Tribolium castaneum: one gene and its partners. The protein of the gene in region 2 purifies or fractionates together with the protein of the main gene of each other region. This does not show direct contact. Links are inferred from orthologs where the notes say so. Each region holds a gene or a part of one and is shown on either strand. Other genes may lie near its edges.

The links.
Region 1: the proteins of Jra (region 2) and E3 ubiquitin-protein ligase COP1 purify together in Homo sapiens (affinity purification with western blotting; 9 studies listed by BioGRID and IntAct, counting the BioPlex papers as one, with this or other methods). This does not show direct contact. The link is inferred for Tribolium castaneum from reciprocal best matches to the Homo sapiens genes JUN and COP1.
Region 3: the proteins of Jra (region 2) and mle purify together in Homo sapiens (affinity purification with mass spectrometry; 3 studies listed by BioGRID and IntAct, with this or other methods). This does not show direct contact. The link is inferred for Tribolium castaneum from reciprocal best matches to the Homo sapiens genes JUN and DHX9.

What each region holds. Positions count from the first base shown.
Region 1 is NC_087397.1:2,834,712-2,842,695, forward strand, and holds E3 ubiquitin-protein ligase COP1, read left to right. Parts: upstream 1-3,664; intron 3,665-3,721; coding exon of another isoform or gene 3,722-3,837; intron 3,838-4,173; 5' UTR 4,174-4,211; coding exon 4,212-6,200; 3' UTR 6,201-7,663; downstream 7,664-7,984. Other genes in the region: pre-mRNA-splicing factor Slu7, read left to right, coding at 322-639, 687-1,616, 1,680-2,087. UniProt on the Homo sapiens protein: E3 ubiquitin-protein ligase that mediates ubiquitination and subsequent proteasomal degradation of target proteins.
Region 2 is NC_087399.1:143,348-151,107, forward strand, and holds Jra (Jun-related antigen), read right to left. Parts: upstream 4,613-7,760; 5' UTR 4,469-4,612; intron 4,421-4,468; coding exon of another isoform or gene 4,348-4,420; intron 4,307-4,347; coding exon of another isoform or gene 4,188-4,306; 5' UTR 4,180-4,187; coding exon 3,496-4,179; 3' UTR 3,280-3,495; downstream 1-3,279. Other genes in the region: ClC-b (H(+)/Cl(-) exchange transporter 7), read left to right, coding at 255-308, 360-512, 561-759, 813-1,066, 1,115-1,292, 1,420-1,711, 1,758-1,896, 1,948-2,760 and 2 more; phosphatidylinositol N-acetylglucosaminyltransferase subunit Y-like, read right to left, coding at 4,188-4,306, 4,348-4,420; uncharacterized protein LOC663924, read left to right, coding at 5,898-5,961, 6,507-6,695, 6,744-6,934. UniProt on the Homo sapiens protein: Transcription factor that recognizes and binds to the AP-1 consensus motif 5'-TGA[GC]TCA-3'.
Region 3 is NC_087394.1:36,801,009-36,809,089, reverse strand, and holds the end of mle (dosage compensation regulator), read right to left. Parts: coding exon 7,604-8,081; intron 6,715-7,603; exon of another isoform or gene 6,628-6,714; intron 6,575-6,627; coding exon 5,949-6,574; intron 5,895-5,948; coding exon 5,569-5,894; intron 5,163-5,568; coding exon 4,206-5,162; intron 4,160-4,205; coding exon 3,881-4,159; intron 3,836-3,880; coding exon 3,380-3,835; intron 3,325-3,379; coding exon 3,166-3,324; intron 3,107-3,165; coding exon 2,816-3,106; 3' UTR 2,639-2,815; downstream 1-2,638. Other genes in the region: myeloid differentiation primary response protein MyD88, read right to left, coding at 207-534, 917-1,085, 1,140-1,523, 1,580-1,779, 1,828-1,949. UniProt on the Homo sapiens protein: Multifunctional ATP-dependent nucleic acid helicase that unwinds DNA and RNA in a 3' to 5' direction and that plays important roles in many processes, such as DNA replication, transcriptional activation, post-transcriptional RNA regulation, mRNA translation and RNA-mediated gene silencing.

The DNA of each region.
Region 1 (7,984 bases), on a different chromosome or scaffold from region 2:
TTACGGGCCTTCACTTGAATTTTTTTCACACAGTTCGCTTGATTTTAATCAAATTTAACGCCATAACAACCGCCGCCTTCTTCATAACACATTATTTTTATTCTCCCGCATTTATTAAATAGCAAATTTACGATGATGAACGGCAAAATGAGCAAACTACTGTTAATTATTAACTTTGGACGAATTTTCGTAATATTGAAAAAAATCAAAATTTGGAATTTTTTGGAATCCCTCTATATAACACGATCTGGCCTTGACAAGTGATAACTGTCAAGTATTTAACCTCACTCTTAGTTGTATGTGTAAATATTGCGTTTAATTATGGCCAGCAGTACGCAGGGCCTTTCGGTGTCGCAAATCTTAAAATCAAAAAGCGAGTTTGAGGATGAGCCTAAGAAAAAATCGCGTGAAGACTGGCGGAAAGCCAAGGAGCTCGAAGAGGCGCGTAAGGCGGGCACAGCCCCTGCGGCTGTGGACGAGGAGGGAAAAGACATAAACCCCCACATCCCGCAATACATTGCCACAGCCCCGTGGTACTATGGCACCTCGGGCCCCACCCTCAAGCACCAGAGGCCCCAAGACGACAAACAGGAGGATTTCTCCAAGTTGGACGAGTGGTACAAGCGAGGGGTCGACACGGTAAGTTAGCTGCACCTCTTATGCCATTATATTTATTTTTTATTTAGTCCAAAGTTGTGACGAAATTCCGCAAAGGCGCTTGCGAGAATTGCGGTGCCATGACCCACAAGCGCAAGGACTGCATGGAGCGGCCCCGCAAAGTGGGGGCCAAATTCTCGGGGGCGAAAATAGCCGCGGATGAGTTCATCCAGAAAAAATTAAATTTGAGTTACGACGGGAAACGGGACAGGTGGAGCGGTTACGACCCGTCCGAGCACAAGGCAGTGATAGAGGAGTTCCAAAAAGTTGAAGAAGCGAAGCGGCAGTTAAAAGCCGATAAACTCAACGCAAATAATGAAAGTGACGAGGAGTTGGATGAGGACAAATACGTGGACGAGGTGGACATGCCGGGGACCAAAGTCGACAGCAAGCAGCGGATCACAGTCAGGAATTTGCGAATTCGGGAAGATACGGCCAAGTATTTGCGAAATTTGGACCCGAATTCGGCGTATTACGACCCGAAAACGCGCTCAATGAGGGAAAATCCGAACCCGAATAAGGATGATAATTACGCGGGGGAGAATTTTGTGAAATTTACCGGCGATACGACTAAACATGCGTCCGCACAGTTGTTTGCGTGGGAGGCGTATGAGAGAGGAGTTGATGTTCACTTGTTGGCGGAACCCACCAAGTTGGAGTTGCTCCAAAAGGAGTATGAGAAGAAGAAGGAACAGTTCAAGTCAAAGGTTCAAGGGAGTATTTTGGAGAAGTACGGAGGGGAGGAGCATCTGGAGGCGCCCCCGAAGTCGCTACTTTTGGCACAGACTGAAGATTACGTGGAGTATTCACGCTCCGGTAAAATTATAAAAGGGCAGGAGAAGGAAGTCATCAAGTCAAAATATGAGGAGGATGTCTATATTAATAATCACACTTCGGTTTGGGGGTCGTTCTGGCGAGGGGGGCAATGGGGCTACAAGTGTTGCCACTCGTTTGTCAAGGTTTGTATTTTTATTTTGGATTAAATAGTGTTTAAACCATATTTTCGTTATTTTTTTTAACAGAATTCGTATTGTTTGGGAGAAGCTGGCCGTAACCAGGAGGCCAACAAACCACCAGAAGTTGTACCTGAACCAGAGGAAGAAAAAGAATCAAGTGAGAGTTCATCATCCGAGTCGAGTTCCGACACAGAAGCGAAACACAAGTCCGAGAAAAACAAGAAAAAGAAGAACAAGAGAAAGAAAAACAAAGAGAAGAAAAAACTGAAACAAAAAGAAGAGAAGGACAAGTTAAAAGAGGCCCTCAAAGCGGAAGAAGAGCACCAAAAGCGAGCCGAGAGTTTACTGTCAATAGACGAGAGGAAGCGTCCTTACAACAGCATGTACGAAGTGAAGAAGCCCTCAGAGGAGGAGATTGAAGCTTACTATTTGAAGAGGAGGCGAGAGGAAGACCCAATGAATCAATTTATGTAATAACAAGAATATATTTATTTGTAATAATACAATGAAAATAAAAAATTAGCGTCGTGTTAATTGGAGTACGACCCCCTTATCGACCATTTTCCCGACAAGTCTTGCCGTATTCCTGGCATCATGCAATCCGCAATGTTCAGTCCCTTCAAAAGTCAGTCCTAGTTCGGCCAAAGCGCCAGAAAGTCCAATAAACGGGCGTCTGATGTAGCGCTTGAACAGTGCTCTAATATCAATCCATTTGCGGTACATTTTCTCAATTCTAATATTCTTCCGGATGCACTCCTTTCGGAGACAGGTCCCCAAATCCCAGTCCGACCAAGTGGCAAAAGCGCACGTTTTTGCCGCCTGACTTTCGCCGTTTGGGAAATCCATGTCATATAATCTCATTTTTTCGGCAACCCAACGCGAAAACAGAAGCAAACAAGCTTGAAGGGGGACCCCGTTATCAACTTGGTGTTGCTGTATTCCTGTAAAAAATCATCAGTGGGGCTTGGGGCACAATGTTTTTTACCTGTGAGCTCGGTACAAAAGTCGCTCAATTTGGGATTCTCGACTGGCATTACGTATTGCTGGAACTCTGCGATTATTTTAGCGTTTTTTACGTCGTAAAGAACGACCGGAAATTCGATTATTTCGGCCGGATTTTTTCTCGGGTCGCCGTTACTCCAGCAAGTGGCTTCAAAGTCAAGGACGAGGAGGTAGTCAAAAGGCTGGGGAGTCGTGGCCTTAGCGGTTGAATAAATTACTTCTAAAGCACCCAGTTTTCTGAAATTGCAATAATAAGCTTATCTTTAATTTAATTATAATTTTTCTCACCGGGCCAACTCTCGAGTGCTCATTTTACTAAAATATTTCACATGTAAGGTACAAAAAACTTAATCTAAAAGTGGAGCACTTGGTCAAAGAAAGTCTCACATAACCTCAATAAACAAAATAAAGAAAATAGCAGAAATACAGGTGATATGGCATTAGTACGCCTCGATGGTACCGCTTTTTAAGTTACAAAACCCTTTAGCGGAAAACATGGACAACACAAATTGTGTCTTAATTAACTGAATAAAAAATGTATTTTGAATTTGCCGCCATTTTTTTTCCACCAAGTCACAAAAACTAAGGTGATTCCACTCCCCAATAATTTTTTTATCTAATACAGTTATCAGCGCAAATTAAAGGCTCGCACTTTTTCTGAGCATTTTATTTAAATACTGTCGATTGCATACAAAATAGACCTAAAGATAAGGCGTTATCTACGAATATCCAACCTTTCCAGAAACATTTTTTGTGCGTTAGGAGCGCCTCCTGGCGTTTGTCACTCCTGTCGGCCCGGCAGACCTGTCAAAAATCAATTTTGTGATTTGTTGATTTTTGGATTTTCAACACTAAAGTTCCACATAATCGAAAGACGAAACGTATACGATTTTTAAACCACCCTCAACCAAATCACCCCACACTCAAACCACCCATATTTTGTGTCACCATCAAGTATGGCTTTATCTCTAACGTGTAAAAAGTTACTCAGGTTATCCGTCTCCAGCAGATACTTTTTCAGACCATGCTCTTCAGCCTGCCCGGAAAAAGTAGGTTTTATCATTAGAAGCAATGCAATTGAGTGATTTGCGTTCGTTTCGTTTTAGAAAGGCTTAGTCTTGGGCGTGTACAGTGATGATGAATGTGAAGGGTTGGAGCTAACCCCCGCTGCTGAAAAGTACAACCAGAAGTGTCAAGGCAGGCTTTTAGAACAAATTAAACTGTAAGTAGCGTCATAGCGTTTTTATTGCATTAGAGGACAAGTCCAAGCGGAATTAAACATTACATAATGTGAAAACATGGGAGTAATTAATGAAACTTGGCACAAAATAGAAAGCTTTATCGTTTTTTATACACGTAGCGATTATTTTATTGTCTTGGCCCTTTTCGTGCAAATTGAAAAACCTGACCTGAAACTTGATCCCGTCAGTTTAACCAATCCAGTAGTATTGAGTGTTTTCAAGTAACAATTTAGGCGATTTCTGTCCCCGTTTCAGGTTTTCGGGTCAGGAACCGTCCGAATTGTCGCTCCTCAATACTACTCCAGTTCTTGTTTCAGGTCGATGTTTTTCTCTTAACTACCTCTAAGTCGTCAAAATGGCTTCAAGCCGCGACGGTCGTAGTAGTTCCGCCTCTTCGCACAGTAGTTCGAACGTGCCGACAAATCGCTCGTCGATTCGCACCCCAAAGCGTCAGCGTTCGACAGCCGGGGGCGGCTCCTTCGAGGAGAAAACGACCGATTTTTCCTGCCCCGTCTGCTTCAACCTGATCGAGGAGGCTTACATTACGAAATGTGGCCACACGTTCTGCTACACCTGCATTTTAAAATCGATCGAAGCCCTCAAACGCTGCCCCAAATGCAACGCCCCGGTCACCGGCGAAGACATGATCTTCCCGAACTTCCTCCTCAACGAACTGATCAGAAAGCACAAGACTCGCTTGAACAACTTCGAGGCTTTGGGCTTGAACCGCGACAGTTCGGGGGAGTTCGGGACGTCGGCCGACGGTTTACGGGATTTTGTGGCAACGGAATCGCAGAATTTAACGTTGCCGGACGTTAACGTAATGTTGGAGGTTCTGACGCAACGGAAGCAACTCCTGGAGGCGGAGTCGTGTGCCGCGCAAAACCGCCTCCTTTTGGAGTTTTTGAAGCACTTGCTTAAGCAAAAGAAGGAGCGGCAGGCGCAGATTATCAAGGAGATTGCGATTATTGAGCATGACATTGAGGAGGTTTACAATAAGTTGAAGGAGGTGCATAGCAAGTGCCCGACTTTGGAGGATGTGGAGCGGACGGTGGCGTCGGCGGCGGACAATGCCGATGTCAGTGCGATGAAGAAGGAAATGATCGATTTGATTGATACTATAGGTAGTTCGACTGGTCGCAAAGATGACACGACGAATCCCGACGCCCCGCTTCGGCTAGGTTCGACCTCGCTGGCGATGCGCCGGCGGCGGATGCACGCCCACTTTGACGACTTCGTCGACTGTTACTTCACCTCACGCTCCAAAGACTTGTTCTTCGGCAAAGACGGGGTCGATAAGACTAAGACTACTATTAATACGGGTCTCGACGAATTCCGGGAGAATTTGATCAAATTCTCGCGCTATAACTCGCTCCGGGTCCTCGCAACGTTGAACTACTCGAGTGATTTGTTCAACAATTCGACCATAGTCTCGAGTATCGAATTCGATAAGGATAACGAGTTCCTGGCGATTGCTGGAGTGACGAAAAAGATCAAAGTTTTCGATTACGGTGCTGTGATTAAGGATACGGTCGATATACACTATCCCTGTATTGAAATGCTCTCCAAGTCGAAAATCTCGTGCGTGAGTTGGAACACGTACCATAAGAGTATTCTGGCGAGTAGTGATTACGAAGGGACTGTGACGATTTGGGACGCTTCGACCGGTCAGCGCACCAAGACCTACCAAGAGCATGAGAAGCGCTGTTGGAGTGTTGATTTCAATGAGGTTGATACTCGGTTGATCGCCTCGGGTTCGGACGATGCGCGCGTTAAGTTATACTCGCTCAACGGTGAGCACTCGATCGCGACTCTCGAAGCCAAAGCGAACGTTTGTTGTGTTAAGTTCAATCCGAGGAGTTCTTGTCACTTAGCGTTCGGTAGCGCTGATCATTGTGTTCATTACTACGACTTGAGGAACATGAAGGAGGCGGTGGCCGTGTTCAAGGGCCACAAGAAGGCAGTGAGTTACGTCAAGTTTCTCAATAGTGAGGATATCGTGTCGGCGTCGACCGACTCGCAGCTTAAATTGTGGAATGTTAATACTCCGTATTGCCTTCGGTCGTTTGTCGGACACATTAACGAGAAGAATTTTATCGGATTGGCGACGGACGGCGATTATGTCGCCTGCGGCTCGGAGAATAACGCCATGTATATTTATTACAAAGGCTTGAGTAAAAAGTTGTTTAGTTATAAGTTTGAAGCGATTCAAGGGGTCTTGGATCAGGAAAGGCGGGAGGATGATATGAACGAATTCGTTTCGGCTGTTTGCTGGAAGCAGAATTCGAATGTTGTCGTTGCGGCGAACAGTCAAGGGATTATTAATATTTTGGAACTGGTTTAGGTGATAGTCTAGCACGGCATTAGGACAATCAACTGTTCTTGGCATATCCCGGATTGTAAATTTCGTTACAGGATGTGCACAGGAAAAATCGGTTTAATAACTAAAACTTGGATGGGGGACTATTTTATTTTTTACGTACAGGGGGCGAAAATATTTACTGTTTTTATAGCGTTACTATCTCGAAACTTAATAGTCGCACAGAGATCAGCGTCCGCTATTAAATCCCTTATTTTTATCTCTATGCATGTGAATTTTTTCATAATTTTTATATCCTTCGTTATTGAAATTTTTAGTTTTTTTTTACGGATTTTTTGTACAAAAAAATATTTAAGCAACTTTTCTTTTAAAATGAGAAATTTTATTCTTTGCAGCGACTTAATTAATTTTAATTATCAGGAATTGTAGATACGTATAATATGTATTTGGAATAATAGTAAATATTTTCATTAAGTACTGCCTGTATAAATAGGGAGTACCGTGCCTGCAGTAAAATTTGTGACTAAAAAATGTTCGAGTCTGTTGGTTAATTGAAGGCATGGTGGCTTAGTCCCGAAATTTATTGGTGTTACCGCTTATAATTTCCTATAACAATTTTGGAAATAGCAAGGCTATTTTATTAAAAATCGAAACACGAGAAATAGCTGCCGTATTTGTCTATTGCTTCGAGAATTGGGGTAGGAATTGAAGTGTTCCCTCTAGTGAGTGCCCTTGTTTCGTAGCGCCGCTCTCAACAAATATCATTCTCCCAGCAAAAAAGTCTCCACCTCATAATGCCCAAGTGTGCCAAATTTCAGAGTTACATACGCACAATTTAGCGAATAGTATAATACGTGTGAGACAAAACCAGTCGTAGTTCGATGTACACAAGACTTCACAAGTATAAAACCAAAAAAAAAATTGCTCATTAAATTATAGCGTAAGTATTTTTAGCAATATATGTGCCAATTTTGTGTTGTAATCATGTTATTCTTAGTGTGTAGTCTGGCCCACTAGTGATTTGGTTAAGGAAAAAGGCAGTTGTTACTATGTTTTACTCCATAGATGTGTTGCTCTTGTTTACTTCGAATGTTGAATTGAGAGTATACCCATATATTTTTTGTAGAATTTTTTCGAGCTTCAAATTGAGAAAATATAAGTTTGGAGTATTTTGTGTATATATGTGCATAGAAAAAAGAATATAATGTAAAAAACCGGCATTTTACTGCCCGAAAAACCGTTTTATATTTTTTAAAATGAACTAAAATGTGATTGAATTTCCTCGGTTGATTTGCGGTAATTGTATTGCACTATATTTGTACGTGTCGTCTGGAGAGTCAATGTTCATTGTGATCATATAGATTTCACGATATAGTCTTTCTCTCTATAACAAAAATTGTTGAATTAATTTGTGATCCATTTAGGTAAATGTTTTTATTGTTGTAAGTAGTTGTATAATAGCAATAAAGTTTCTCATTGCCCAAAAACCGATTTTAATTCCTCGCATTACAGCACAGGTAATAAAGTAAAAGCGGGCAAAACGTTCGTGTTTTGGGGCCTTGAACCTGACTTTCAATCCGTCGCTATCGTGGGACTGGGCAAAAAAACTAAACCAAGCGACGAACTTGAATTAATTTCGGAGGAACGGGAATCCGTCCGAATTGCAGCTGCCGGTATTTATTGATTTTACGAAAAAATTGCATTTGTTGGTTTCAGCCGCTTGTAGGGCCTTGGACGCAGCCGGGGTTAAAAAAATACAAGTTGAAAGCTTAGGCGATGCCGAGGCGTCAGCCGAGGGCTCGAAGCTC
Region 2 (7,760 bases):
TGCAAATAAGGTACTCTTAGCATTAGCTTTTATATTAGTTGTCATGGTAACAGCTTCGCCATTTGCACCACAGTGGTTTTTATGAAAGTGAACCAAGTATAGACAAGTGCGCTTGAAGCATTTGTTCAATGACGTTTAATTTTTCGGAGAATGCAAAATAATATGAATACGTTTTTATCGCAGATGATTCATTTCGTAATCAAATCGGGACACAATTCAAAGTTATAATGCGCGTTATTTTCTAATCTGGGAGAATGAACGAAAGTGGGAATCATGAGGATGGTGAAATTCGAGCCACCAGATTTAGGGTAAGTTTTTTCTATAATGAGGGTGTTAAGAGTCATGATGGGAGCTTATAGAATTTGCCATCGGTCAATTCGTTGAGTCAAGAAGAACTGATTGTGACAGAACCTGAAAATACCGAATTGTTATCGTCAATCAGACGGAGGGTACAAACTAGTTCTGAAAAAATTGAAACAGGGTCTTTGAACGTGTTATCGGCGAAATATGAAGTAAATTATCACATTTGGTTACAAAACACTGCTACTGGATTTTTTTAGAGCCTTGATTACGACACGTGTGAGAATTATTTACTTTTGGATGAAGAGAGAAAAAAAGGTTATAGATTTATTGTGAAAAAAAGTTTAGCGAGATGGTTTATTTTCCTCTTAATTGGAGTGGTAACCGCGTTAATTGCTTGTGCCATAGATATATCAATAGAAGAATTATCACAACTGAAATATGCCTCATTAAGCAAATGTAGAGAATTAATTTTTCTCAAACTATTTAAATCCGATTGTAAAAAATTCTAGATGTGGACGAATACGTCACACAGGGGAAACTCCACATCCCCTACTTCTTCTGGGTGTTATACAACGTAATCCCAGTCCTAATAGGCTCAACTCTAGTTGCTTACGTTGAGCCTATTGCTGCTGGTAGTGGAATTCCTCAAGTGAAATGTTACCTCAATGGGGTTAAAATACCCCGCGTCGTACGAATAAAAACACTATTTGTAAAAAGTGTAGGCGTTGTGTGTTCAGTTGTGGGTGGTTTAGCTGGGGGCAAAGTAATCTTTCTTCAACATAAAAGTAGAAAACATAAAGTGCGCTTTTAGGAAGGACCAATGATTCATTCAGGAGCTGTCGTTGCAGCGGGACTTTCTCAAGGGAAAAGTACAACGTTTAGGCGAGATTTCAAAATATTTAAATTTTTTCGGGAAGATCACGAAAAACGGGACTTTGTCTCTGGGGGCGCCGCTGCGGGAGTTTCGGCAGCTTTCGGAGCACCAGTTGGTAATAAAAAAATTATATCAAATGTAGTCCGAGATATTTCTCAAGTCAAAAAAATAAAACTGTAAAAACAACTGGAGTAATTTAAACTTATATAAATATAAATTCTACAATTTTCGCCCGATTTTAGGTGGAGTGCTTTTTAGTTTGGAAGAAGGTACAAGCTTTTGGAATCAGAGCCTAACATGGCGCACTTTTTTCGCTTCCGTGATAAGCACCTTTACTCTAAACGTAGTTTTATCAACTTATCACGGAGTTCCCGGTGATTTAAGCTATCCAGGACTTTTGAATTTAGGCAAATTTGAAAACTTTAGTTATAAAGTGTACGAATTACCAATTTTCCTCGTAATGGGGGCTTTAGGTGGATTATCGGGGGCGTTATGGAATCACATCAATTACAAATTATCAGTTTTTCGAATGAGGTAATATCACGTTTTGCTCACAATAAATGATAAAAAAAACTTACAGATATATACGAAAAAGATGGTTAAAAGTAATTGAAGCTTGTATTGTCGCAGCTGTTAGTGCCACTTTAGGTTTCCTGATGATGTTTTTACTGAATGATTGCAAGCCTTTGGGACAAGATCCCACGAAATATCCAACTCAGGTAAACAAAAAATTAAAGTATAATTGATTCTATTCGTTTTTTTTTTGTCAGTTATACTGTCAAGATGGCCAATACAATGTTTTGGCAAGCATTTGGTTTCAAACTCCTGAAGCCTCAGTCCGTTCTCTTTTTCACGATCCCCCAAGTACGCACAACGCCACCTCTCTGGCCTTTTTCGTCCTAGTTTATTTCTTTTTATCGTCATGGACTTTTGGTCTTGCCTCTTCTAATGGTCTTTTTATACCGACTCTCCTAACGGGGGCTGCTTGGGGTCGGCTTATTTCAGTCGGACTATTTCGAGTAATCCCCGACGCTGTTCTCATTCATCCGGGGAAATACGCCCTGATTGGTGCAGCCGCTCAATTAGGAGGCGTAGTCAGAATGACAATTAGTTTGACAGTGATTATAATGGAAACGACAGGAAACATTTCCTTTGCTTTGCCTCTAATTCTGACATTAATTGCGGCAAAATGGACTGGTGATTTTTTCAATGAGGGAATTTATGACACACTTATACAACTCAGTGGTGTTCCGTTACTCCCATGGGAACCCCCGCCACTAGTTCACAATATCTACGCCAGTGAGGTGATGTCGCATCCGGTGGTTACACTGAAGTGTGTTGAGAATGTGGGGCATATTGTTGAATTGTTGAAATTAACAACTTATAACGGATTTCCGGTTGTTGATCCGCCACTAACTGATCAATCGGAAGTTACCACGTATGGGAGAATAAGAGGGTTAGTTTTGAGGTCACAATTAATTGTTATTTTGAAAAAGAAGATTTTTAACGAAAATTCGGACTTTTGGGAGGATATTAATGCGGGAATCTTTCGAGATGAGTATCCCCGATATCCAACAATAGAGGTAGTGGTATTTCTCTCGCCCTTTCCTTTTTAAGTAATTAAGTTTAATTCTTTAGCAAGTGAGTGTTTCCGAAGTTGAAAAAACTTATTCTATTGATCTGAGGCCGTTTATGAATCCGTCACCATATACGGTGCTTCATGTAATTAAAAAAACAAGTAATTAGCATTTAATCATTTTTTTTTTTCAGTCGGCATCACTACCTCGAATGTTTAGATTATTCCGAGCTCTCGGTTTACGACATTTGCCGATTGTTAATGACACAAATGAGGTTATAGGAATGGTAACAAGGAAAGATTTAGCTCGTTATAGAGTCTGGAGACATCGGGGTCGCATGGGGGTAGAAGAATTATTAATTTCCAAAGAAATATGACCGCTTACAGTATTATGATATGATGATATAGTTTCACGAATAATTATGTTGTCGCTTTTGACAAAAGAATTTTATTTATTGTTAATTAAAGACTTTACCCATTTTCCATTGTTTTTATTCTAACCAATTTTTTTTAATGAATTCACTACTTGTTACTGAGACAATTTTTATTAATAAAAATGTGATAAACTACATAAAATAAAACAAATCGCGCTAAATCTACCGTAAATAATACAATTCAAATGGCTCCATACAAAATATGGTCACAGTATTAAAGCTACAACTATGAATATCTCAGCACCAAAATATAAAAAAATCACTCTGGTGTATAATTTTTATAAAAAAATATAAATCGTACTCTATCCTTAAAACTGTCCCGCAATGATGGGACAGCCAGCATTCACATGTTCCATCACTTCCAATTTGAGCATCCCCACGTGTTCCTTCAACTGGTTGACCACTGAAGCCAATTCAACATTCTCACTTTTCAACAGTTTGACTTTATCCTCCAATTTCGAGATTCGTTCCAATTTGCGGGAACGACATTTAGAGGCTGCGAGTCTATTCCTTTGTCTCTTTCGCTCCAATTTCATTCTTTCCTGATATTCCATATCGACAGGAGACATTGGGGGCGTATTATTCACGTTGGGCACCGTTTGGGGCTCCTCTTTGATCACAGGCATGAAATTCTGCTGTTCGCTGTAAACCGTACTGGCATTACTGTCAGAACCTTGCTGAGAATTGCCATTGTGAAGATAATTAAGCGCTTCGACGAAACCGCCTGCAAACTTCTCTTGCTCCACAGTGACGTCCCGCGGGAAGATAAGTGAAGGGGAAGGCGTGTGTGAAATATTATTCGCCAAGATGATGTTCTCAATGGTGGGTGTGTCCACTTTGAGGAGGTCAGGGGTATCTACTTTGAGGACGGACGTGATGTCGGGGGATAACGATAGGTTCATGTTCATTTTCGACTGATTAAGATCAAGAGTGAGATTTTTCTTCATGTTACTGAGGTTTTTTTGCTGACTTTCAAAGTTGGGTCCGCTCATTTTTTTTATCAATTATTTTTGTACAATTCCCAACCTAACCACGACCAAAGATTGAAAAATAGGTAAACAGGCACGACGACCAAAGCCAACAGTGAATAATAAACGGAATCACTAATTTCCATAAAATCTGAAATGGAAATTTTAGGTTAAGTTACGTCAATAGCAAACAAAAGAATATCGAGAAATGAAGATTCTCGAAGAAGAAAACAAAGTGAAGGTCTGTGAGGTGTCCCTCAAGCATTACTTGGTAAAAAAGTAAATAATGAATCTTTAATATTATAACACTTACTTTAACACCACATTCAAAAGCAAAGCGCTTTTATTTGTAATGACTCACAATGTAGCACAACACTGGCTTGAAAATTTCTTGAATATAACTTTTAACTTCTTGTGTAGTATTGTTCTCGAAATACTACAGAATACTAACAAATACGACGTAATAACTTTCGATATGAATGAGTCATCCCTTTCATGGATTTTCAGAAATGAGAATGACGTCATGTCGAAATGATTCGCTAAAGCGACACCTAGACAATTCTACAGGAAACTGACCGCAGTGTTTTACGGGTTGCCAACATGATCTTTGAACCCCATCTTACCCCATCCAAAAAATACGATTTAAGAAATGAAAAGACAGTGATATTAACGACTAAAGTTTTAGCCGATTTTCATTCAAAAATTGTGATTTAATTTACAAAAAAACTTTGGAAACAAAGAAAAAAGTGTAAATATTTTATATTCTGTCCGACTTTAAATGCGATAAGTACTACAAAATAAAAACAAATTATGGTAATAACCAAATAGATAACTATTTTTAATTATCATGCGAGGAAAAAACCTTTATTTAGAAAATGTATGATAAGAAGCATTGGCACTAAAATAACAGAAATTGTAATAAAGAGATCAACAATAGTTGTCTATTTCTTCAAAATGACGAAAAAATTCCTAACCTGCTTTATTTGTAGCGTATGAGCTAGTTTGCCTAGGGTAAACACAGTTCCCTTGACCTTAATAGGATAATTCATTTAAATTACTTTTTCGATCAAAATACGTCCCCGAGTGTATGCATCAAGGAGCTCCTTGGTCCGTCCTTGGTATACATCAACGGTTCATAGGTTAAAAAACCCAAATAAAATTGATTTGCAAATAATAATTCCACAGGGAATATTTGCCACTTCCTGTCTCGCCTTCGCAAAGCGGAAAAATGGATGGTGTTATTCAACGTGTTATTTCATCAATTGCAACAAATTTGGACGGATATGGTGAATTATCCAATTGTATCAAACGGTTTCGTAATACTAATTAGGATAATAAATTAAAGGGTAGACACAACTTTGCAGACTTTGCAACACGAACGAAACATTTTTTTTTTCGGAAAAAAAAAACTATGTAGGAGTTAATCGAGCCACATCATAGCAAATCAGTAACACGTATACGCCAACTTTTTTTTTTGTAATTACGGAAATGGTAACCCTTCTTCACTTCAGTTCATTTACTATCAATCAATAAAAATTGAAAAAACAATCCGTTATATTTTTCTTAAACGCAGATCGCACTTTATGAATCTTTCCGTTAGAATCAAGGTTTCGCGCAGGCCCTATTTGAAGCTGCATTCAGTCTTCATATTGAACTCAAACCGAACATTTCGTGATCATATAATCTAATTTTATTTAAATTAAATAATTCTTTTCGTTTGAAATTTTTAACACAAACCAATAATGGTCCATTTACAATACATTACTGGACTATCCCTTCTTCTTATTTTAGTGTGTTTGAAATCAAGTAAGTATAAAACACCCTCCAGTTCGAATTTAACTTATGCCTCTCATAAATTTATTTAATTATTGCTACACTTGTGAAGTGCTACACTTGTGAGACAGTAATGATTACATAATCAACTACTTTTATTGTTCGCACCCTTCGAGACCCCTCCAATTTTTTCCACCAATTCAAGTAAATCGCTACTTGTATTGTAGACAATTTTAGAAATACTTTCGCTAAAAAAATTATTAATCAGAAACATGTAAATGCATTAATCGTAATTAATTTAAAAAAGAAAAAGGTGCATGCGCACGCGCAATTTCATTTCGAAGATCAATAAGCTGTACCATTTGGGAATAAAGAGAGAATAAAGTTGAGAAAATCTGAATACTATTTGTTTTTGTTGACGCAAGTCATATCATGAATGATAAACACTAATTTATTCTATTTCTGTACCAAATTTATCTGTGTTCCACGAAGAGACTATATTATGTTCATTGAAAATGAAAACACTTTCAATGCACACCCTCTTTAACTTAAAAAAAAAATCATCCGTTTTCTCTTAGGTAACGCCATTAGATGTTACCAGTGTAACAGTTACGCGGATAAGAGATGTAGCGACACCGATATTGCCAAATATAAGACCGAGTTGGAAATGGATTGCCCCAACATGTCGCCCCCTGGAAGTGAGCCCGGAACAAAGTACAAACTGTGCCGGAAAATCAAGCAAGTGATTGACTTTGAAGTCAATGGATGTAATAAGTGAGATCGAGAGTTTGAACAGTTTTGATGATTATTTTTAGTGCAACCGGAAAGTCGTATTATCAGGACCTGTGGTTGGGATGACTCCCATTACAAGAACAAATGTTATCAAAGGTCGGGGTTCGGAGGTCGTCAAGAAGTGTGCGCTTGTGAGGAAGATGGTTGCAATAGTAGTAGCGCACTTTACGCTTCCGTCGCGTTACTAATGGGCCTATTAATTGTCCACCTGTGAGGTGTTGGAGTTCATTTCTTGCTCACTGGTCGGTCTTCAATAAAAACAATTTTTTTTATAATAAATGTAATTAATGATCAGTTTGCCAATTGCTCGAACTTTTTTCGGTGTGTTCGTTCGTTGAATACGAAAATATTTGTTTCGTGAATAAGCACAATGTTAATAAGCCACAATATCATTGTAGTAGAAGTTTAAATCTTGTTATTAGACATGCTAGAGAATGATTTAAAATTTAATAACTAGTACAAGAATAAAACACAGTTTGGATGGTGATGAGTAAGTATTGTCACTTTGATCCTATTGTATGATAATACATTTTAAATCAATTCGGTTCAAACTTTAGAAAAACCGAATCGGTTTGGTTCGTTTAGATAAGATAGTTGTCTGATTTTCTCATAATCGGTTGCTTTAACGGACGTTAGATGTACATAATTTACTGCCAAAAATGCATTAAATCCATTGACGATTGTTAATCATAATAATAGTCTAACGTAACTGTTATATTACTTTTAGATGCACAACTATAATTTTAAGAGTGAATAAAGCATTGATTTTGAACCGGCCCCATCCTAAAGCCCCCCAAATCTGTTGAGGTTACATAACCGCACAAGAACTTACAGTAATAAAACTAATAAATACAAAACTATTTGTGACTTACCTTATACTCTTATCTGTCCAATTTTAATCCAGTTTCACGAAAAAAACACACAAAATAAAATAAACAAGCACTTTCGAATAAGACCACACTATTACCAACCCCACCCCACTAGGAGAAACCGTACTACCAACCTTTTTTGAAACAATTTGCGGGAAAAATAAGAAACAC
Region 3 (8,081 bases), on a different chromosome or scaffold from region 2:
GTGTGCGATTTTTTGTTACACCCACTGTTTATGATGACAAAAATCGGGCTGGAGGAACAACTGTCATTTTTGCCACTGCTTTGTTGCCAAATCATATTTTGCGCAGTAACTAGGGTTTGGTGACAAAATGAAAATCCCCACAACAAATTCAATCATATTTATTAAAAATAATTGCACTTATTTACACAAATCACAAATAAAATGCATCAGTTCGCGACGGCTGTGGCTCGCTTCAAGTGTTTCTTCAATCCTTTGCTTCCTTTTTCCGCCTTGGATGAGCAATCTTTATCTCGCTTGAAATGGCCTTTGATTTTTTTCAACAAAGTGGTTTTCTTCTCTTTTTTCTGTTCCGAACACGATTCTAAATTGTCGGCACTTGTACTGGGATTGAGCGGTGGTTCGCTTATAGCCTCTGTGCTTTTCAAATCACCTACACTACTGCTAAATTTTACGCCGTGATTTAACGGTCTGAGACCGATAGGGTCCCTCTGATGTAAAGCGGACCTCAACACTTGACCATTGTCGGATTGGGACCTGCAATTACACTCGCATTGAATTAATTGAACTCTAATCGAAGTGGTCTATGACTGAAATTAAGTTGCCAACACTGAACTTAAGTCGTTTGAGTATTTCCCCGAACATTCTGTTCAATAATTATGTAGTAAATGGTAAATTGAATCCAGAAATCGCCGAAATGATTAGAAAATGGGTTTATTTTTTACTTTTTCGAACATTCAACACAAAAATATGCAAAAAATTGCAGGAAATCAACCCAAAAATCAAATATTTAGTGTGTTAGTGAAAAAACAGCCTTACCTTAAAAACAGACGATAGCAAATGTTACCAACTTAATTTCAGTCAAAGTCTACTTGATCAAAAATTTTATTCAAAGTAACAAAAATCAAGTAGGCAATACCTGTTAACTTTGAATTTTTCCGCACTGACCACTCTGATCGAATCACGTAACTTATCCCACACATTGAAAGCAGCCATTCGTTGAAAATCCAAAGTGAAGAGACACTTCATATGTGGCGGATTCGTTGTTAGATTTTTATAAATGCAAGGAATAATTTTCCTTTGACTTTCTGTGTAAAAACAACAATTAAACATAAAAAATGCATGTTTTTAACTGTTGTTACCAATTCCATAAGCGTGTGCAAAACTTAAATAATACTCATTGGCTGAGCTTTTAAAAAACGAATCTGAAAGAATAACAACCAAACGGTTACACCGATGTGTTATTAATTTAATCATTTTGTCCATTTCTAAGCCACCTCCGACCAAATCGCGGTCTTTAACGCAGAACTTCATTCCATATTCCTTCTCCATTCTGTCCAACAATTCTATGGCAAATTCAATATCATCATGGTCGTACAATAAAAACGCATCGTAAATTTCCAAATCCCGGCCTTCATTAATCCTTATCACGTCATCTGTTGTAATAATGTATTTATCAGCTTCGGAATAGAGAGGCTTGAGTTCATAGCCTTGTGGATTGGCTTTGTACAATTTAATGTCCTCATCTACAAAACAACAAAATTCGCACAAATTAATCGAAATCATAGTGAAATTAATTTACCGATCAAATCCAAGACATCGTCCGCAACATCAAACCGGTCCATCTCTTCTAAAAATAACAACAATTGTTGTACAGTACAACGTTGGGGGTCTTTTTCATACCACAACTGTAACACTTTATCTGTGGGGTTTGAATCGTTGACAAGACTCGCCTCATAATTGGGGCTAATCTGGCACAGGCCAGCCAAACCTCTCCAATACCTAAGCCCCCCAATCAACAAACTGTAACTATACTAAAACTGTACTCACCGGAGCACCCCATTAGGGCCTGGCATGAACATCTGGGGGTTCAACAGGTCGCATAACAGTGCCTTGGTTTTGGGCCTCAAGACTGTTATGGGGACTTCCCGCGATTCGCCCGCAGCCTCCATTCTACACTAACTACTAAAATATCCAATTTTGAGTTTTTGTCAAGGACTTACTAACACTTTTTGCTTACAAAATCATCTTTTAGGGCGATGAAAATAAATGGGCATCTTAATTGATTGACAGTTGACGTAATTGACATAACGAACGTTGCCAATTTTATGACGTGACCTTGGATTGGGGCAAAAATAACTCAATCTTACCGAAATTGATGGTTTTGAGGCTGTTTTCACACCAGCTGGTTTAATTAAAGGGAATACCATTGCTAAGAGTTGAGATTTTGGTGTTTGCACTATTACGTGATAGTGATATGCAGGCAACCAATTATACGTCAATACGAGACAGATTTTTTTTATGATTTTATTTGAACTTTTTTCTATTCAACATGTTTTGTTGAAGCATTCTAGTAATATAATTAAGGGAGAGGTCAATTTCAACCGCACCACCAATCAAATTAGCAACTATCAGAGCAATTAAATTGACTTGGTAACGTTGGGTAGGTAAATGATCAGAAACAGAGGGGAGTGTTACAGGCCCTGTGGCGCAACGGATAACGCGTCTGACTACGGATCAGAAGATTCCAGGTTCGAATCCTGGCAGGGTCGTCACATTTTTTATATTTAAGCGTAAGCTTTAAGTTGTTAGTTTCCTAGAGTTGTGTTAGTTTTTACGGTAGTAGTCATTTAGCCAAATCTTCAAATTTAAATTTTATTAACAAACTCAACAAAAAATATATATTGTTTTGTTCTTTGTAGTGAATCTAGTGAGCCAAGGCCTCAAGTTCGAGAAGAAAAAACTAATATTTATTTTGTTAAAATTTTTAATTTTTGAATACCGAGATGATCAAACACATTTATGTCTACCGATACAATTAATAATTACTATAGCCTCTGAAACCACGACCTCTTGGAAATCCGCCCCTGCCTCTGAAACCCCCTCTTCCCCCAAATCCATGGCCCCCATCAAAACCCCCTCGAAAACCACCCCGATTATCTCCAAAGCCCCCTCGAGACCCCCCTCTGAAAAACTTTGGTGGTGGTCCTTGAAAACCCAAAGAGTGCCCCCTTGGTGGACGCCTCGATTGTTGCATTTGGGGTCTAGCCCTCTCGATTTGGTAACTCCCAGCGTGCAACTTGCACAGCTCTTTAATTGTTGCAACAAACTGCAAAAAGCCAAATATAGCGCTCGAAAAATTTAAGTCTAGATATTTTTATGAATTACTTTGAGATCTCCTGGTGACATTTCGAGTATTTGTTCCGGTTCTTGCGACGCCCGAACAACTAAACTTTCCAGGGCCGGCCTTAGGGCCACAATAAGGGCCGCCACTTCTGGGTCCATATTCAAATTAATCCAATTATCAAGTCGCACAACACCATCAACCTAAACAAAATCAAATCAACTCACACTTGCAATTCAATTGTTTAGTTTGAATTACCCAATCAATTTTTCTCGAACCAAACAATAACAAATGAATCGGCGTCACCATACTCATTTGTTTACACGAAACGGCCCTTGTCCGTATTTTCTCCCCAAAAACAAAAAATGGATACGGGAACGTTTGTTCAAAGTTACTGCAATTGACTGATGTTTTATGTATCAAGGCGGCCTTGCTCTCGGTTGTCAAAACTTTTCGTTTCTCTTTGTGATAACAAACATTTGGATAAAGACCATAACACATTAATGCCATCACAACGTCCAATTTCGGATCAGGGCCAACTGTATCCATAGGAATCGGTGATAAAGTCTCTTCGGGGAAACCCACCGAATTGAGAATTTGTTGCAATTGGTGTTTGGCCTCCCACGTGACACGCATTGTCGGCATACTTATGCCTTTGTATTCGCAGAAACGTTGCTCGGCTTCTTCGCCACCAGCACGTGCTTGATCCCACAACTACAAATAATATTTCATTAAAACATTAAAAAATACTGTATGTACCTCAAAAGCTGTCAACATGGCGACGTGATCAGAGCACCTATCCCCAGCCAGAGCCTTCTGGTGGTGGCTTAAACGTCTCTGGCCCATATCAAGTGTGAAAATTTCGGGAAATGTGGACGAATTAGCAGCCATTGTGGCCAAGGGACCACCACACATAAAAATGCAACCCAGAACCATCATTTTCCCCAATCGTGGTTCAATCGGAAGTTTGGCAATGATGCGACCAAGTGGTGTCAGCTCATCGTTACTGTCCAAACATTTCATCTCACGTAACAAAACCTTAAAAAACAATAATTAAAAAATTAAAACTACAGAAATAATTTACCTCTGCTTCAATGACGGCATCTAGTGGCGGTGGCTCGATCGCCTTGCTCAAAAAATGCCCAATCGAGCCCAACTTTAACAACTTAATACTCAGTGCCAATTCATGCAGCGGTGTTCGGAACATTTCCGGTGTCATATGTTCGTCCAGTTTATCAAAGCGTGCCTTCGAACACAAATGGAAACAAAACCCCGGTCTGACTCTCCCTGCACGTCCTTTCCTCTGCTCGAGATTAGTCCTTGAGGCCCAAACAGTCGCATAACTCGTCATATTATTATGCGAAGTGAACAATTTAATCTTGGCCTTGCAACTATCAATCACAAACACTACATCATTAATTGTGATGGAAGTTTCGGCAATATTTGTTGCCAGAATAACTTTGGTGACATGAGGGGGCACCGGCTCAAAGACACGTCTTTGATCCTCTCGTGGAATCTGCGAATGCAACGGCAGCACCCTATAGGCAGCCCCTCCAAACACTGGATGCTGTTGCAAGTGGCGCATCATTGCAAAAATCAGGTTCCAACCGGGGAGAAAAACTAGAACAGCTCCCGGAATTTCTTGCGATTTGATGTATTTGAGCAAGGCTTCCATCAATTCGAAGCTCACTTCGCGTTCGCTCATTCGAGCCATTGCATTTCTGGTTTGAGTACTGAATTTTGGGTCGATTATTTTGTTCATGTTTTCATCGCCGTCGTCTCCAATGGTTGTTTCGTCATCGTCGCCTCCACCACCACCGCCTCCTCCAGCCTTACGTTTGCGTGTTTCTGTAGGTGGCACAAAACCGGTGAGTTCGACACAGTCCTCCAGGAAGTACTGCTGGACGGGATAAGTTCGGCCGGCGATTTCAACAACTGGACAATTGTTGAAATATTTCGAAAATAAACTCGTGTCAATTGTTGCCGACATTAGAATTACGCGCAAGTCTGGGTAGGTGTGGATCATGTCGCGTAAAACCACCTGAAATTATCCCAATTTTTTCTAAACTCACAAAAAAACATAAATTTTTGTGCAAAGATAGTTTAAATAATAATAATAACAATAACTTATTCCTATCAATTCATACAGATATAGTAATAAAACTGATACCAAAGACGTCAGTATTATACACAGAAATAAAAATAACATAAGAATAATTTAAAGTCCAGTTATAATAATTTTTCGGCTACTTTATTAAAAAATTTTGCGAAATAATTACGTTTCAACCATAACTTAATCTAATTTTCGATTTAATTTTGTAATTTTTCCGCAATTTTAGCTGAAGCTTTCAAAAAACCCCAAGCATTGAGTTTAATTTCCCAGACAGTTGTCACAAAAAAACTCGTGATAACGCATCAAACGAACAAATAATTATCATGGTTATTACCATAATAAAGTCACTATTGACGTCCCTTTCGTGTATTTCGTCGACAATCACATGACTGACGCCTCTGAGCCCATTTTCCAACTTCTTCAAAAGCACGCCAACCGTACAAAACATAATGGAACCATAAGGTCGGGGAAGAACCGATTCAAACCGAACCGAATACCCAACCGATTGTCCCAATGCTTCGCAACGTTCATTGGCCACTCGTTCCGAAACGGAAACAGCCGAAATTCTCCGAGGCTGTGTTATACAAATATTGCACCAGGCACCTTGACCCGACATAATATAATCCTCGAGAATGTACTGACACACTTGTGTAGTCTTACCTACAACACCATATATACAAAGATACAGGGCGTTCCATGTTATTAGTTACATACCGCATCCGGTATTTCCCTTAATTATGATAACGGGATTATCGTTAATTGCGGCCATAATTTGCCCCTTCATTGAATACACTGGCAAACCTTGTCTCTCACTAATGATAGCTTTCAAATCAACGTCATGATTCAATTTTTGTTTGGTTTCTTCGGCCAAATGTTCGCTCAACTCGTCCAAGTTGGCGTTGGCAAGGGGGCCCTCATCAATGTTGCACCCAGTCCAAGGATTCCAATTTTGTTGAGGAGGCGACCATGGGACAACTCCTGCAGCTATCGGTTTGGAGGCTTGAAAGTCGTCCAAAATGTGATTGCTCAAAAGTGAAACCGGTTGGCTTTCGCTTTCCGGTTTAACCTCAACCGGAGTGATATTCAAAGTGTCGAGGCAATCTTTGATTTGTTTTTGTAAATCTGGGGAGATTTTTACATCGAAAGGTTTCATTTCACTGCCGGTTTTCTCTTTTTTAAGTGTTCCGGAAAATGCTTCAATTACACCGAGATGGAACAGTTGGCGAATGATGGAAAGAGCGCAACTTTTACTAGCGGTTTGCTTATTTGAACCGGAATCACGACCGGTTATTGTACGTCCGAGTTGCTTGACGTAGAAGCTCATTTCGGCCACAAAAGTCCTAAGAAATGGGAGCATTACAGTTGAGAAATAGGGGATTAAAAGTATACTTACAAGTGTATAATGCAGAGTTTTTATATTGTACCTTGGAGGAAAAACAGAACCAAGAACAGTAAAATATTTGAGTTGTTCCCACGGTAGCTGCAGTGGAAAATTATTATTTAAGAAACTACTGCAAGAAGTAAAACAGAAGTTTCATAAATAAAAAAATGACCTCAAAGTTACTAATTTTTTAATCAAACCAGTAACTCTATTATCAAAATGCCATTCAATTGGTTAAATAAAACATAAACGCATTCACAACTTCCTTCTTTCCAGAAAGAAAATCGTGAATTTTTTGGTAAATAAACGAAATAAATTATTCTATCCACTGTACTTAGTTCTGCTTTTCCACCTCTACTATTTTTTCTCTGCAGAAAAAAATAAAAAAGATAGAAAAATTTTAATTTCTTCAATCTTTCATTTTTTTCTAAAAATTTTCAAACCATAAATAGTCAAACAATAACAATAATCCTTCTGGCAGAAATGTTGGTTTTTTCAAAGCCAGAAAAAAAAATCGTGAATGGATAAAATAATAATGAAAATAAATTATTCTATCCACTGTTCTTGGCTTTGCTTATCTGTCTTTACTCCTTACATTTTTTTATTATTTCTTCTATTGGTGCCTCATTCTCTATTGCAGATTTAATTAAAAAAAAAAAAAAACAACATTTTTTCCTTCTTTTCGTTTTTTTTTCTATTTTTGGTATTTTTTATTATGTATATTTATTTTATTATTACGGTTCTTTCTTTATTTTTTATTCTCGTTCTCTTATACAAAAAATATTTAAAATAAACAGTGCAGGGGAAATGTTAAATTTCCAAGGCCAGAAGAAAAACGTGAGTAAACAATAAACAAAATAAATTATTCTGTCACTGTTCTTGGTTATGCTCTATTATTTTATTATTTTTCAGTTTTTCTACTGTGCCTATTTTTCTCTCTCTCCTCCCCCCACACAAACTTCCATCTACTCACTCTCTCAATACCAACCTGGAATGGTCTGGCCCCACTTGCGTATACTTATAATCCGCGTGTATTTTATTGCTTTGCATAAACTGATGCAGCTTTGACTTTGCATTCTCCACAGTCCAATTGCCATGAATCTGAGCATTCACATCCAAATCCTCTGCATCCTCCACACTCTTCTGTTCCTGCGCCCTGTTCATGTAATGCCAATCGTCGTGATCGCGCCCCAGAGGCCTGTAGGCCTCCCCAAACGACGAGGGCCCCATTCCCTGTCGAAACACCGAAGGGGCGGGCCCCCGATTCATCGGAACGGTGTTTGGACCTGGAGGCGCATCCTGGAAGTCGGGCACGTCGGCGGGGTTAACAATGCCTTCCCGGACGAGGTAACTGACGAAATCGCGGGCGGCGTTGCTTTGGGCGTCCTTTTTGTTGGTGGAATTGCCAGCCCCCACGTAACTGTAGCCATCGATGCGGACTTCGCAGAGGAATCTCTGGCGGTGTT